Cricetulus griseus: one gene and its partners. The protein of the gene in region 1 purifies or fractionates together with the protein of each later gene. This does not show direct contact. Links are inferred from orthologs where the notes say so. Each region holds a gene or a part of one and is shown in the gene's direction. Other genes may lie near its edges.

Region 1 (3,690 bases):
ACCACAAAGAACTTGGGCTCATTTGTACCAGGAAGGGCTTCATTTGGAACCTTGCAGGATCATAGACCAGCTCCTGTGAACACAGTGGCGTTTGATTGCTGGGAGCTGGCCTCCAGCTCATCCCTGTCCACTGGTGGCTTCTCCTCACTGGTATTCTTCTCTGTCTCCAGTTTACCTGAGTAAGGCCTTTGTGTTCTGACTGTAACATTTGATGCTGTTGCTGGAAAAGACTTTTGCAACAATGTTTTGTTTTGTTTCTGCTTTGTCTCAATACAGAGGGGGGGGCATTCCACTCCCTGAGCCACGCCCCCAGCCCCTTTTAGGAGGATTCTAGGTGGGGGCTCCACCCCTACCACATCCTCAGCCTCTTCCTGGTGACTCCTGGGCAGAAGGCTCCATCCCTGACCACACCCCAGCTCCTCACGGGTGATTCTACTTATAGTTCATAAGTAGAATATATATCATCTTTGACAAACAACCTTTGTGGGTTGGTTCCTGTGTGTGAGTGGAGGCCAGAAGGACAGCCTTTATTATTGGTCTGCAGGCATTGTTCACCATTTTGGGGGGTAGGGTACAGAGTCTCACTTTGTCTTCCTGTCTGGCCTGGGTCTTGCCATATACACCAGGCTGGCTGCCTGCCTGCCTCCGCCTCCCTAGTGCTAGAACTAAAGGCGTAGCCACCACACTGAGATTCTTATTGTGATTATGCTCACCATTTGGGTGGCCTGGGTGGGCTAACTGAGTTTGCCAGCCAAGGAGCCCCAGGGATCCTCCTGTCTTCTAGTGCCTGGTGCTAGGATTAAAAGTGTCCATCATTACACCTGGCTCTTTCTGTGTTGGGGCTTAATCAGGTCCCTGTGCTTCAAGCTAAAGTCAACTGCTAAATCACCTCTCTCCTGGGGCTTATAGACCATATCCAGAATGTCCCCTGTAGGTTCTAGGCCCTACTGCCCTTCCCGTGGGGTGGGATGGAGCCCTGTGGGAATGTGACCTAAGCTCTTATGTCTTTCTTTTCAGGTTAACAAGAAACTCGTCAGAGGCTCCACAGAGAAGGGCAGGAGCAAACTACACAGAGTAAGGTCCTCCTCCCAGCTCTTGGAGCCTTGTGCTTATGGACTCTCCTGCTTGTGCTGCCACTGCACTGGCAATGGTGGTGGACCGAGTGTCCTGAGTACGCAGGCTCTGCCTGGGTCTCTGCCAGCACATGCTGCCATTGGGAAAACTCCCTTCAAAGGGGCATTGAGTTCAAGTCCAGCCAGGGTTAAAGGGTTACATAGTGAGTCAAAAAAAAAAAAACAAAAACAAAAAAAAACCGGGGGTGGCGACACACACCTTTAATCTAGCACTTACGGAGACAGACACAGGCCGATCTCTGAGTTCAAAGCCAGCCTGGTTTACAAAGCGAGTTCCAGGACAGTTCCAGGACACAGAGAAACCCTGTCTCAAAAAAAAAAGGCAAAACTAAACAAAATACCTTTGACATGGTCTCACTCTCCTTGGAAGGGTATGAGTTAGGTTCACATGGAAGTGGCCCCAGACAATGCAGAGGTGACAGCTGGTTGCGACTTTTTGGTCTCCAGGTCACCATGTGGCCTGTGGGGAAAGGGACACTCTAATGTGTAAAACTTTAGGCCCTGCTGTGCTCACTGTGCTACACAACCCCTTTGCAGTTAGGAAGGAGTATGGTGTCATTGGGTGCTTTTTAAGGCATTTGGTATTGGAAAAGCAGGCTTTTTGCATGCTGAACATTCTGGTCCTCTGAGGTGAACCCCAGTCCTGTTTGCTTAGAGGCTCCCTGTGTAGCCCAGGCTGGCCCCATTCTCCCAGTGACAAATGACATGCTTACACTGCCAGGTACAATCCAGCCTGTGTGAGCAGCGCATATGAAGGTACAGCAGACAGAGTCTCCTGGGCTTCTGTCTCCTTAGTAACAACCGGGAACTGACAATGCAGTCAGGCCTGCACCTCCTACCCAGGTCAGACTGCCTCTTTTGGCCAGGAAGTAGCACTTACAAGCTGTGGCCCAGAGCACAGTTGCAAAACATGCTGGAATCCCCAATACCAAGAAACCACCCAACACAGGCCTATTACAGCAGCAGCCCTACATCCACAGGCTTCATTACAGGAAGGCTTGAAGTCCTTTTTCAAGCTGGACACTGAGGGCTCAGACTCCGGTTTGGAGAGACCTGCTGGGGTAGAGCTCAGTCCCAAAAGGATCTCTGCTGGGCATTGGGGTCCAACCCAGGACTCTGTTTAATACTCACCCACCAGGCTCCTGTCCTTACCCTCAGTCCAGTCTCTCATTTCAAAGGAAATCGAGTCGTTCTTGAATGTATGTAGGGAATGAGTCAGCCTGGGCAATAGTTCACCACCACTGCCCTGACACTTGTGTCTTTGGTGCTGAGCTGAACTCTGGGCTCTGTGTGCTTGGCAGTTCTTGCCTTAGGTCACCCATGGTGCACCTTTGCCACTGTCTTCTTACAGGACAGAGAACAGCAGAGGGAGGAGAAGGAGAAGCTGAGGGAAGAGACGCGGCAAGCCAAGGAGGAGGCTCGAAGAAGGAAGGAGGAAGAGAAGGAGCTGAAGGAGAAGGAGCGGAGGGAAAAGCGGGAGAAGGATGAGAAGGAGAAGGCGGAAAAGCAGCGGCTCAAGGAGGAACGACGCAAGGAGCGACAGGAGGCTCTGGAGTGAGTGTGCGGACCTCTGGAGCCTGACTGCAGAGGGGGCAGTTGGCTTCTGGCCTGTGTACTTTCTGTAGGGCTGCAGGCTTTATCTGGCTGTGGTTCCTGGGCTACTGGGAGTTTTGGTTTTAAATGCTCCGGTCCCATCAGGATTTCTTATTCAGTTTCCTAACTGGGCTGTTGCCTCAGTGGATGACCACTGTGTCCTGTGAGGTTTTGACACTACAGCAGCTCTTGTGTGGTGAGGCAGTCCTATCATGATAACACTTTGTTTTCGAGGCAGGGTTTCTCTGTGTAGCCCTGGCTGTTTGGAACTCACTCTGTAGACCAGGCCTGCCTCTACCTCCTGAGTGCTAGGATTAAAGACATGCACCTCCATGCCTGGCCACAAATAAATAAATAAATAAATAAATAAAATCTTTGTGCCTTGCAAGGAGGTTGTTGAAACCTAATAAATGACAAATGATTTTTGAGTAAGTGAGCCATGCTGCTGTGGATGATCTTGGAGTTTTGATTCTCCTGCCTCCACATAGTGCTGGGGTGATTGGCAGGCACCAACACACCTGGTCTTTGACATGTTGGGGCTAGAACCCAAGGGCTCATGCATGACAAGTTGTCACTATCCATTGAGCCCCAAACCATCAAGAACTTTATATTGATAAGTGATGTGGTGCTGACTTTAATCTGCACCTGTGCTGGGAGATTCTGTGAGTTGCAGGTCAGCTTTGTCTATGTAATGAGACCCCTTCAAAATAATTTAAAAGATTGATTGGTTTTTTTGTTTTGTTTTTTGTTTTTTGAGACAGGGTTTCTCTGTGGCTTTGGGGGTTGTCCTGGAACTACCTCTTGTAGACCAGGCTGGTCTTGAACTCAGAGATCCACCTGCCTCTGCATCTCGAGTGCTGGGATTAAAGGTGTGTGCCACAACCGCCTGGCTGATTGATTGGTTTATTATGTGTTCAGTGTTCTGCCTGCCAGAACACCTGAATGCCAGAAGGTGGCACCAGAC
Region 2 (3,690 bases), on another chromosome or scaffold:
TTAAATAGTTAATCTGGTGCTTCTTCTAAGCAGTCTTGAGGCTTAGAAATAAAGTAAACTAAGTCAAATAATAGTGATTTATGGGCAAGGGCTGTAGCATAGTACCTAGCATTCTTGAAACCCAAGGTTTAATTCCTAGTACTACCAAAGGGAAAAATGGGAGTTGGCTGGAGTTGTAGCACAGTTGGTAGAGTAGTCTCTTGCCTTGTATATTATACAAAGCCCTGTGTTCAGTCTTTTAGCACTACTGGGGGGAAGAGACAAGAGGGTCAGAAGATCAAGTTCATCCTCTGCTACATCATGTGAGGTAGCTTAGCCAAGCCCGAGACCCACATGGAGCTGACTCCCACAAATTGTCCCGTGACCTCCGTGACACCCAAACTTAGACTACATGAGTAAATGCAGTAAAAGAATTTTTAAAGTTTGAGCTGTGAATTTATGATGTCATTCAAGAAAAGCAAAGTGAAAAATAAAGGGACTTTTTAGCTGGACATGGTAGCATACATCTATGATCCCATTACTTAAAAGATAGAGACCAGATCAGGGATTCAAAGCCATCCTGAGCTATATGAGACTGTGAAGGCTGGGCGGTGGTGGTGGCACATGCCTTTACTCCCAGCACTCGGGAGACAGAGGCAGGAAGATCTCTGTGAGTTCGACCCACACATTGTAGTATCACCTATAATTCCATCACATAGAAAGCTGAGGACAGGACTGGAGAGATGGCTCAGAGGTTAAGAGCACTGGCTGCTCTTCCAGAGGTCCTGAGTTCAATTCCCAGCAACCACATAGGTCACAACCATCTGTAGAGATCTGGTGCCCTTTTCGGGCCTGCAGACATACATGCAGACAGAACACTGCATGCACAACAAATAAGTAAATAAATAAATAAATAAATAAATAAATCTTTAAAAAAAAAAAAGGAAAGAAAGCTGAGGACACCTTGGGCTTCTTAATAAGTCCTTGTCCAAAGGGAAAGAAATTTGCTGTGAGATTAATAATCATGGCTAGGGGTTAGAAAGATGGATCTGCAGTTAAGAGCATTGACTGCCCTTCCAGAGGACCCAGCATCCACATGGTAGCTCACAACTGTCTGTAACTCCAGTTTCTGGGGACTTGACACCCATGGCAAAACACCAATGCACATTTTTAAAAATGAATTAAAATAATAATTGTGCTTTTAAAAAAATAATCGTGCCGAGTGGAGGCAGCAGCATGGGCCTTTAATCCCAGCACTCAGGAGACAGAGGAGGCGGATCTCTGTGAGTTCAAGACCAGCCTGGTCTACAAGAGCTAGTTCCAGGACAACCTCCATAGCCACAGGGAAACCCTGTCTCAACCCCCCCCCCCAAAAAAAAAAAAATATAGCTAACTTGCTAGCTAACGTGGAAACGTGGTTGTGAACTGGAGATAAGTAGAGCATTATACATAAGCAGTGTACATCATCTGTGATTTCCCTTACCATCCAGATATTTATCTGACCAGTAAATGTGCCTTGATGCCCTTTTTATTTTCTTTTGTCATTTTAGCAGCGTCACTCTTTACACCGGAAAGCTGGCGGGTACTATGGGGAAAAAACAGAACAAGAAGAAAGTGGAGGAGGTTCTAGAAGAAGAGGAAGAGGAATATGTGGTGGAAAAAGTTCTTGATCGACGAGTTGTCAAGGGCAAAGTGGAATATCTTCTAAAGTGGAAGGGTTTCTCAGAGTAAGTTTCATTGGCACAGGTAAATTCAGTCCTTATGCTTGATACCTGTTCTGTGATGGGTATACCTGGGGTCAGTCCTGACCTCCACAGCTGATAGTCTACTGAGGAAGGACCTACATGCAGAATACTGCGATATATGGCAGCATTTTGTTTTGTGTATGTGGCATGTGTGGCCTTAAGTCCTGGGATGAAAGTCAGGTCTTCAGGCTTGCCAGATGTCTCCTTTTTCCCATTGAGCTATCTCACCAGTCCACAACAGTGATTTCTGAGGAGCAATTTGTATAAGATAGTCCACCTCTGCAAAGTAGTTTTTCCTTGAAGAAGACAAGTTTCTAAGCCTTTGGTCTTTACCATCCCCTGCTAGGAAACTTCTTAATTTTGAACAAAAATCTAGCTGTTCCTTATCATTTAACTCTCTTCCAAGACTACCTCCTCTCTTAGTTACAAATGTTGACTTGAGTGGAAGTGTAACTTGCTGTGATTGCTGGTTTCAGTGAGGACAATACATGGGAGCCAGAAGAGAACCTGGATTGCCCTGACCTTATTGCTGAGTTTCTACAATCACAGAAAACAGCCCATGAGACAGATAAATCAGAGGGAGGCAAGCGCAAAGCCGATTCTGATTCTGATGATAAGGGAGAGGAAAGCAAACCAAAGAAGAAGAAAGAAGAGGTGAGAAACTTAGGACAAGGATTTAAGTATTGGGCTTACAATTATGAGCTACGATACTTGAACTTCTTCCTCTGAATCTCAGCAGTTATGTCCTCTGTCCTTCGGAAATAAACTAATGTTTTTAAAAGATTTGGAAGTCAACCATGTGCACACCTGTAATCCTAGCAGAAGGATCAGGTATAAGAGACCTTGACTACAGGAGACCTTGTCTCATTGAAACATAACAAAACCAAAAAAAAAAAAAAAAAAAAAGGATTTGGGACTTATTCCTGTAAAGTGATCTAATCTTTTTATCTATGGTGCAAGAATGATGGGATAGCCGGGTGTTGGTGGCACATGCCTTTAGTCCCAGCACTTGGGAAGCAGAGGCAGGGGGATCTCTGTGAGTTCCAGGACAGCCAGGACTGTTACACAGAGAAACACTGTCTTGAAAATCCAAAAAAAAAAAAGCACTGACTAGCTGCTCTACCAGAGGTCCTGAGTTCCATTCCCAGCAACCACATGGTGGCTCTGTAATGAGATCTGATGCCCTCTTCTGGCATAAAGGATGTAACAGTTACTGGAGACACATGACAGCAACTGAATTTGTTTCCTGTCAGTAGATTGCTGTCAATAGATTGCTTTTAGTTTTTTGTTTGTTTGTTTGTTTTTTAGATTTATTAAGTATACAGTGTTCTGCCAGCATGTGTGCCTGCAGGCCAGAAGAGGCACCAAATCTTATTACAGATGGTTGTGAGCCACCATGTGGTTGCTGAGAATTGAACTCAGGACCTCTGGAAGAGCAGTCAGTGCTCTTAACCTCTGAGCCATCTCTCCAGCCCACTTTCAGTGTTTTGATCATTACAGATTTGAAGTAGCTGTTTTGTCTTACTTAGTATCTTAATTAATTTACCTTTGAAGAGACAGCATGAACATTTCTTTTGCTTGGGGTGTGTGTCCCATTCATGCCAGGGGTACCTCATGGTGTGGGAAGCAGAGGAAACCTTTAGTGAATGTTTGTGATTACATTTCTTAGAAACACAGCAATAACTTCATTCTGGATATAGTCCTATGCCAATAAAATTGTTCTGTCCTTCTGGTTTTTACAGTCAGAAAAGCCACGAGGCTTTGCCAGGGGTTTGGAGCCTGAACGGATTATTGGAGCTACTGACTCCAGTGGAGAACTCATGTTCCTGATGAAATGGTGAGTCTGCCAGTGGCTCTGTGTGGTTGTTTCTTCCCTTCTCCATCTGTTCTATGCCAGAGGAAAAGAGCTGCACCTTCGAAATTCCAGTCGCCAGGTGTGAATCTTTAAGATGACATAGTCCTTCGA
Region 3 (3,876 bases), on another chromosome or scaffold:
TAATTGGTGGATTTGTAAACTCAGTGAATATGAAGATGGGCTGTGACTTCCAAATGGTGCTGCTATGTCCAGTCCAGTGTCTAGGCTCATTGGCAAGTGCTAAGGAAATCATGATCCATTACCTCCCTCCTACTGTTTCCCCTATTCCAAGCTACCTGCTCCCCTAACACTCCTGCCTGTTGAGCCAAGGCCTCTTCCAGGGCACATAGCCTGGCCATTGAACATCCCCACTGGGGATGCTCTGCTCTGTGTCATGGATTTGGCTAAGTGTAGGTGTTTTCATTTGCATTGGTTTCATATAACATAGTTGCTCCATCCAGAGCCACACACCCTGATCTGTGATTCTGTTCTCTGTTGCTGGGATTAGTCATCCTGTCCAGGATGACTCCTGACTGGCTTCCCTGCTTCTGCTCAACCTTCTGCAGCTAGACCTCCACATACCTGCACTCTTTTCAGACCTTACCTCTTCTAAACACTGCTCTTTCCCAAGCCCTGAATTTCCCCAGCAGGCCTGGGGCTGCCTCATATCCACCTGACCAACTTCATCTCTTGTCAGTTCCTTTTTGCACCACATTCTGCCTAAACACCCTTGTCTCCTAGTCACATTCCGAAGTTTTGAATTTACTTACTTATTTTTTCCGAGACAGGGTTTCTCTGTGAAGTTTTAGAGCCTGTCCTGGCACTTGTTCTGTAAACTAAGTTGGCTCGAACTCAGAGATCTGCCTGCCTCTGCCTCCCAAGGGCTGGGATTAAAGGCATGTGTCACCACTGCCTGGCTGAATTTACTATTGTTGTTACTAAGACTAAGGACAGAAGGTAGGACTCTGCATACTGAGCAATCATGTTGCCGAGTCAAATTCACCATCTCTTTGTAGCTACCTGTTTGGTCAGTTTTTTTAGTCCAGTTCTTTGGTAGTCTTTGAGTCATGAGTGGCAGTGCTAAAGCCCAGGATGTGTCTCCCCAGGCTGATGCCCCCAATCCATCCCTCATTCCTGAGACCGACGCCGTGGGTGTCACTGTGGTTCTCATCACCTGCACTTACCATGGACAAGAGTTCATCCGTGTGGGCTACTATGTCAACAATGAGTACCCAAATCCAGAGCTTCGGGAGAACCCACCCCCAAAGCCAGACTTCTCTCAGGTGAGGTCTGTCTCTGTACTTCCTGCTTCAGACAGGCCAGTTCCTTTACTGCTAAGGGAGATGGGTGCCCAGGTCAGTGAAGGTTAACAGGTCATGCTGTCTTTGAGGTAGAGCTAGGATGAAGCAAGTCTTTTCTTCTTGAGGCATGCCTGACAGGATCAGGGCTAGAGCTAGGGGGAATGTAGCACACTGTGATCCCAGCATCCCGGTCCTCAGAAGGCTGAGCTGCAAGTATCATAAGTTAGGAGGCCAGCCTTCTCTGCATAATGAGTTCCAGACCAACCTAGGCTACATAGTAAGACCCTGTTTTCAGGTGGGGAGGTGGAGGTGGGGGGGTGCTGGAGGGCCACTGGAGATAGCTTAGCAGTAAGAGCATTGGCTGCTCTTGCAAAGGACCTGGGTTTGATTCCTAGCAACCACATGGTGGCTCACAGCCACCTTTAATTCCAGTTTCAGGGGATCTATGCCCTCTTCTAACCTCCATGGGGATTAGGCACAAATGTAACAAATAGACATGTGTAGGCAAAACATTTATATAATAAAAATAAAGTTTTTTTTTTGTTTGTTTGTTTTTTTTTTAATTAAGTAGGCTGGAGAGAGGACTCAGCAGTTAAGAAACTTGCTGTTCTTCAGAACCAGGTTCAATTCCCAGCACCCACAAGCTGTTACTCTGTGCCCTCTTCTGGCCACCAAAGGCCAGACACACACACACCAGGCACACACGTGGTGCACAGATATATGTGTAGCCAGACACCCATATATATAAAACTTTTTTAAAAATCATGCTAGGCATGGTAGTGCATACTTTTAACCTCAGCACTTGGGAGACAGGGTCAGGCAGATCTCTGTGAGTTCCAGACTAACCTGGCCTACATAGTTGAGACTCTCAAAACAACCCCCCAAAAAACAAATGAACAAACCCAAGCAAAACCAGGATGAGGAAGGCCCTGTTCCTACTCCATAGTGTACAAGCATCTTTTGGGCTCAAAGTGGAGGTAGGAGGGCATCCTGGCCCTTAGGTGATAGGCACTGACACTCTTCTTGCTCCAGCTACAGCGGAACATCTTGGCTTCTAAGCCCCGGGTGACCCGATTCCATATCAACTGGGACAACAACTCAGACAGGCTGGAAGCCACAGAGAACCAGGACCCCAACCCGGACTATGGCCTTCCCCTCAGTTGCACTCCCATCAAAAGCCTGGGCCTCCCTAGCTGCATCTCAGGCCTCCTCCCGGAGAACTCCATGGACTGCATCTGATGGGGGCCAGGCTGGTCCCAGTAGGACCATGGCCAGTCTCCTTGCACACCTAGAGGGGACCTACAGGCCCTCATGCTTGGTCATCTCAAGGATTTGAGGGCCTCTAGCTGCCTCCAGACCTGTCAGCCCCAAGGAAAATATGGACCCCAACCTCTCAGCTCAGGTCCAGAAGAATCCTCTCACTTCTGACCCATCAGCCTCTAAGAAGCAGGTACTCATATGCTCATTCTTTGTGTCATTTTTTCTTCTATACTATCAGTGCCTTTGAGAAGCTCTTTGAATATCACCTTCCTTGAAGCTTGTTTGGGCAACGCTTGGCTAGCCTTTGGCCAAAGGTTGTCACTCCTTCTCACTCCAGTTCTTGGTGTCTCAGGCAAGGAATACTGGTTAGAAGGCAGACTTGGTACCACCAGTGTCCTTCCAGGGTGTCTAGGTCATTTAAGTCTAACCACTGCTAGAAAAATCCCCAAAGGTAAGCTCCCCAGGCCATGAAGGTATGGTGGGTACTTTGGTTACAGCCACCTTCTCATTGTGACTGAGCCTAGCTTTCTAAGAGGATTGCCTTGGGTAGGAGGCATGTTGGAGGTCCTGCTTCATGGAGTTATCAGGGTTTGCTTTGATGACATATTCTCATGAGCTACCCAATACTCCAGGATAAGGAGGCATTTGGCAGGCTGACCTGAGAAACTCCCACTCCATCTACCCTTACCCTAAGCCCTGGGTCCCCTTGCTGCTGCTACATGGATGCTATTGTGAGTGCAGTGTGTATATGAAAATGCTTTTATATTAAAAGTTTTGGTTGGTTTAAAAATAAAAGCACTTCATCTAGATTGTTCAGTTCTGGTTTTTTTTTTACCCCCCACCTGGCATGCCTAGAACTCACTATGTAGAACAGGCTGGCCTCAAACTCACAGAGATCCACCTGCCTCTGCCTCCCGAGTGCTGGGATTAAAGACATGTGCCATCAACACCCGGCCTGTTTTTTTGTTTGTTTGTTTGTTTGTTTTCTTCTTCTTCTTTCTTCTTTCTTCTTCCTTCTTCTTTCTCCTCCTCCCTCCTCCTTCCTCCCTCCTCCTCCTCCTCCTCCTCCTTTTTTTCTGAAACAAGACTTCTGTGTAGCCTTGGCTGCCTTGAACTTGCTCTGTAGACCAGGTTGGCCTTAAACTGAGAGATCCGCCTACCCCTGCTTCCCAAGTGCTGGGGTTAAAGACATGTGCCACCACTACCTGGCCTAAACATTAAGTGATTCTTTTTTGTTTTTTGAGACAGGGTTTCTCTGTATAACAGCTCTGGCTGTCCTGGAACTCTGTAGACCAGGCTGACCTCAAACTTACAGACATCTGCCTGTCATTGCCTCCCAAGTGCTAGGTTTAAAGGCGTTGCCCCACCACTCCCAGCTTAAAACATATTTTATGTGTTTGGATATTTTGCCTGTATTTTGTCTGTGTACCACTTGAGTGCCCTGGTGTCTGCAGAG
Region 4 (3,690 bases), on another chromosome or scaffold:
ACAAGAGACAGGATTGATTCTAACCCTGAAGGTTTTTGTTCACCTTCCTTTCATCCTGCCTCCCAGGATGACAAGAGATGTGAGTGGATCTATCGAGGCTCTACACGCCTGGAACCCATGTTCAGTATGAAGACATCATCAGCTTCTGCAATGGAGAAGAAGCAAGGGGGACAATTGAGAACCCGTCCTAATATGGGTATGCCCCTAAAAGACACCTAGGGAAAGGAAGAGACGGGGCAGACGTGCAAAGAAGTGTAATGAGCCTTTTTCTGTCCTGACAGCCAGCTCCCACACAATAACATAGACACTTATTATTAATTAGGAAAGTTTGACCTATAGTTTAGGCTTGTCTCAACTATCTCGTAAAACTTAAATTAACCCATATTTTTAAATCTATGTGCTTGCAATATGGCATTACCTCTCTTCCATCTTGCACCTCCGTTTTCTATCTGAGTCTGGCTGGTGACTCCCTTTTTTTTTTCCCAGAGTGCTGTCTCCAGAAGTCCTGCCCAACCTCATTCTGCCTAGCTATTGGCAATTCAGCTCTTTATTAAACCAATCAGAAGGCACTTTGGCAAAGATAACATCTTTACAGTGTAAACAAATATTATGCAACAAAGAAGATTACATATGGCAGCTATCTTTGTTTTGTTTTGTTTTATTTTGTTTTGTTTTTTTTGAGACAGGGTTTCTCTGTATTGCTTTGTAGATTGTTCTGAAACTTTCTCTGTATACCAGGCTGGCCTCGAACCCACAGAGATCTGCCTGCCTCTGCTTCCTAAGTGCTGGAATTAAAGGTGTGCGCTACCAACACGAGGCTGGCAGCTGTCATTTTATTTACCATAACATTATTTTTAACTCACTAGATAAGAGATATGTGTCCAGAATGTTTTCATTAGTGGTGATGGATTTGTGGAGCTACCTTCCCATTGCAATCACTTTGATTCTTTCTACATATCCACATAAGGCCATGTGTGTTGGTGCACACCTGTAGTCAGTTCCAAACAATTGGAAGACAAAAGTAGATAAGTTCAAAGTTCAAGATCATCCTTGGCTACATAATGAGTTTGAGACCAGCCATGATTACATGTGACTGTGCCTTGAAACAATATGTTTTTCCAAAGCCAGCATATACTAGTGTACCAACTTGTGTGAATAATCAAAACAATCTATCTTAACATTTAGAAAGTTGCCATTTGCCACCTTTGTATGTGAATACAGGTATTTGCATACATGCTACTTCCTGCTGGACAGTGGTGGTGCACTCCTTTAATTTCAGCACAGGCAGCAGAGACAGGCAGGGTCTGTGAGTTTGAAGACAGTCTGATCTACATAGTGAATTCCAGGACAGCCAGGACTACCCAGAGAAACACTGTGTCAAAAAACAAACAAAAAACAGCCTGGAGGTGGTGGTGCATGCCTTTGATCCCAGCACTCAGGAGGCAGAAGCAGGGCAATCTCTGTGAGTTTGAAGCCAGTCTGGTCTGCAGAGTTACACAGAAAAACCCTGTCTCAAAAAACCCAAAACCCTGTCTCAAAAAACCCAAACAAACTTGGACTTGTTTTTTTGAGCCAAGTTCTGTTCATTGCTGCATCTAAAGGCTAGCTGCCTATAGGCTTCTGGGGATTTCTATGTTGCCTACCTCCCGTTTCCCTGCAGGAACACTGGGATTATAGACACATGCTACCATGCCTAGCTTTACATAGGTTCTGAGGATTTGAATTCAGGCACTCATGCTTGTGACCCTGAGCCACCTCTGTTTTCTTTTGCTGCATTTTTATATTGCATTAGTTGATAGACTGTGCGAATAAGAATATCTAATACAGCTGTCAATTTTTGTTTGTTTTTCCTGTAGGTGCTGTGAGGAGCAAAGGTCCTGTTGTTCAGTATACACAGGACCTAACCAGCACTGGAACCCAGTTCAAGCTCACGGAGCCCCCACAGCCCATAGCTACACCGGCCCCCCCTGCTGCACTTCCTCTTTCCCCACAAGCAGGTGACACTGAGTGAGTGCTCCTCATTCTTTTTACTTGGAGTGTTTTTTTTTTTCCCCATACGTAACTTCTGAATCTTTACTGTATGTTCTCTTTCCAACTTCCTTAGAAGCTTAGAAAGCCAACTTGCTCAGTCACGGAAGCAAGTGGCCAAAAAGAGCACATCGTTTCGGCCAGGATCTGTGGGTTCTGGCCATTCCTCCCCTGCTTCGCCCACACTCAGTGAAAGTGTAACTGCTGGGAAACTTGGGATCAACCAGACATACAGGTAAGAAAACCTCAGACACTGTGGGCAGCTTGACAAAATGGACTGCTGTACAGGGTCTCCAAGGGCCTCTACTTTAAAGTTATGTTAGTGAGAAACTTGAGCTAAAAAAGAATTGTTAAATTAAGCTGGGCAGTGGTGGTTATATGCCTTTTTAATCCCAGCATTAAGGAAGCAGAGGCAGGTGGATCTCTGTGAGTTCAAAGCCAGCCTGGTCTACAGAGTGAGTGCCAGGACAGCCAGGGCTACACAGAGAAATCCGGTCTTAAAAAACAGCAACAAAAGTTAAATTAGAAATCCCATGCCTGAGAAACACACTGTCACCAGAAAGTCATTTGCCAAAACTTCTTGAGTATGGTACCATTATCATTGCTTCAACAGGAAAGAGACCCCATCATTTCTTTCCTTGACTCCTAGAAGATAGTAAGGATGTTTAGAGGACACAAAATACAGAGGTTTTGGTAAAGGACTAAACTCTACTTCTTAAGACAGACATGCATTAGGGAAAGTGCCCTGTTGAACTAGAGGCGATCCTGTCTGTGAAGAATTGACAGGGGGTATCATTGTCCATTTTTGTTTGCTAAAAGAAAGGATCTGACCTTAATCTGTAGGATCCAGAGCACAGCTGGCTGGGTGCATTGTTACACACTTATAATCCCAGCTCTTAGGAGGGTGGAGCAGAGGATTGGGAGCTGATGATACCCCTTTCTCAAAAAAAAAAAGAAAAAAGAAAAAAAAAGCTATATGAAAGATGAGAGAAATGCCTTAGCCAGTTGGAAGGGGGATAATTGTACAGCAAAGAGTCTTGTTATCACCGGGCAGTGGTGGCGCAGCACACCTTTAGTCCCAGCACTGGGCGGGAGGCAGAGGCAGGCAGATCTCTTGAGTTCCAGACCAGCCTGGTCTACAGAGCTAGTTCCAAGACAGCATCCAAAGCCACAGAGAAACCCTGTCTGAAAAAGAAAAAAAAAAAAAAAGGAAAAGTCCTGTTATCTTCTGATCTGATATTTTTGCATTTCATTTATAGATCGCCTTTGGCCTCAGTAGCATCTACTCCAACACCTGCAGCCCCTCCAGCCTTCCATGGCATGTTAGAGCGGGCACCAGCTGAGCCTTCCTACCGAGCCCCCATGGAGAAGCTTTTCTATTTACCTCATGTCTGCAGTTACACTTGTCTGTCCCGGATCAGACCCATGAGGAATGAACAGTACCGGGGCAAGAATCCCCTCTTAGTACCGCTGCTATATGACTTCCGTAGGATGACAGCCCGGCGTAGAGTTAACCGCAAAATGGGCTTCCATGTTATCTATAAGACACCCTGTGGTCTCTGTCTTCGGACAATGCAGGAAATAGAACGCTACCTTTTTGAGACTGGCTGTGACTTCCTGTTCCTGGAGATGTTCTGTTTGGATCCATACGTTCTTGTCGAC

The links. The genes of interacting proteins can lie anywhere in the genome.
Region 2: the proteins of Chaf1a (region 1) and Cbx1 purify together in Homo sapiens (affinity purification with mass spectrometry; 4 studies listed by BioGRID and IntAct, with this or other methods). This does not show direct contact. The link is inferred for Cricetulus griseus from reciprocal best matches to the Homo sapiens genes CHAF1A and CBX1.
Region 3: the proteins of Chaf1a (region 1) and Asf1b purify together in Homo sapiens (co-immunoprecipitation; 7 studies listed by BioGRID and IntAct, counting the BioPlex papers as one, with this or other methods). This does not show direct contact. The link is inferred for Cricetulus griseus from reciprocal best matches to the Homo sapiens genes CHAF1A and ASF1B.
Region 4: the proteins of Chaf1a (region 1) and Setdb1 purify together in Homo sapiens (affinity purification with western blotting; 3 studies listed by BioGRID and IntAct, with this or other methods). This does not show direct contact. The link is inferred for Cricetulus griseus from reciprocal best matches to the Homo sapiens genes CHAF1A and SETDB1.

The regions. Positions count from the first base shown.
Region 1 is NC_048598.1:97,490,125-97,493,814, reverse strand, and holds part of Chaf1a (chromatin assembly factor 1 subunit A), read left to right. Parts: intron 1-1,017; coding exon 1,018-1,074; intron 1,075-2,484; coding exon 2,485-2,687; intron 2,688-3,690. UniProt on the Homo sapiens protein: Acts as a component of the histone chaperone complex chromatin assembly factor 1 (CAF-1), which assembles histone octamers onto DNA during replication and repair.
Region 2 is NC_048600.1:109,951,182-109,954,871, forward strand, and holds part of Cbx1 (chromobox protein homolog 1), read left to right. Parts: intron 1-1,529; 5' UTR 1,530-1,566; coding exon 1,567-1,706; intron 1,707-2,200; coding exon 2,201-2,378; intron 2,379-3,466; coding exon 3,467-3,561; intron 3,562-3,690. UniProt on the Homo sapiens protein: Component of heterochromatin. Recognizes and binds histone H3 tails methylated at 'Lys-9', leading to epigenetic repression. Interaction with lamin B receptor (LBR) can contribute to the association of the heterochromatin with the inner nuclear membrane.
Region 3 is NC_048596.1:160,448,121-160,451,996, reverse strand, and holds the end of Asf1b (histone chaperone ASF1B), read left to right. Parts: intron 1-965; coding exon 966-1,142; intron 1,143-2,192; coding exon 2,193-2,399; 3' UTR 2,400-3,229; downstream 3,230-3,876. UniProt on the Homo sapiens protein: Histone chaperone that facilitates histone deposition and histone exchange and removal during nucleosome assembly and disassembly. Cooperates with chromatin assembly factor 1 (CAF-1) to promote replication-dependent chromatin assembly.
Region 4 is NW_023276806.1:61,158,716-61,162,405, forward strand, and holds part of Setdb1 (histone-lysine N-methyltransferase SETDB1), read left to right. Parts: intron 1-66; coding exon 67-196; intron 197-1,856; coding exon 1,857-2,007; intron 2,008-2,104; coding exon 2,105-2,263; intron 2,264-3,287; coding exon 3,288-3,690. UniProt on the Homo sapiens protein: Histone methyltransferase that specifically trimethylates 'Lys-9' of histone H3. H3 'Lys-9' trimethylation represents a specific tag for epigenetic transcriptional repression by recruiting HP1 (CBX1, CBX3 and/or CBX5) proteins to methylated histones.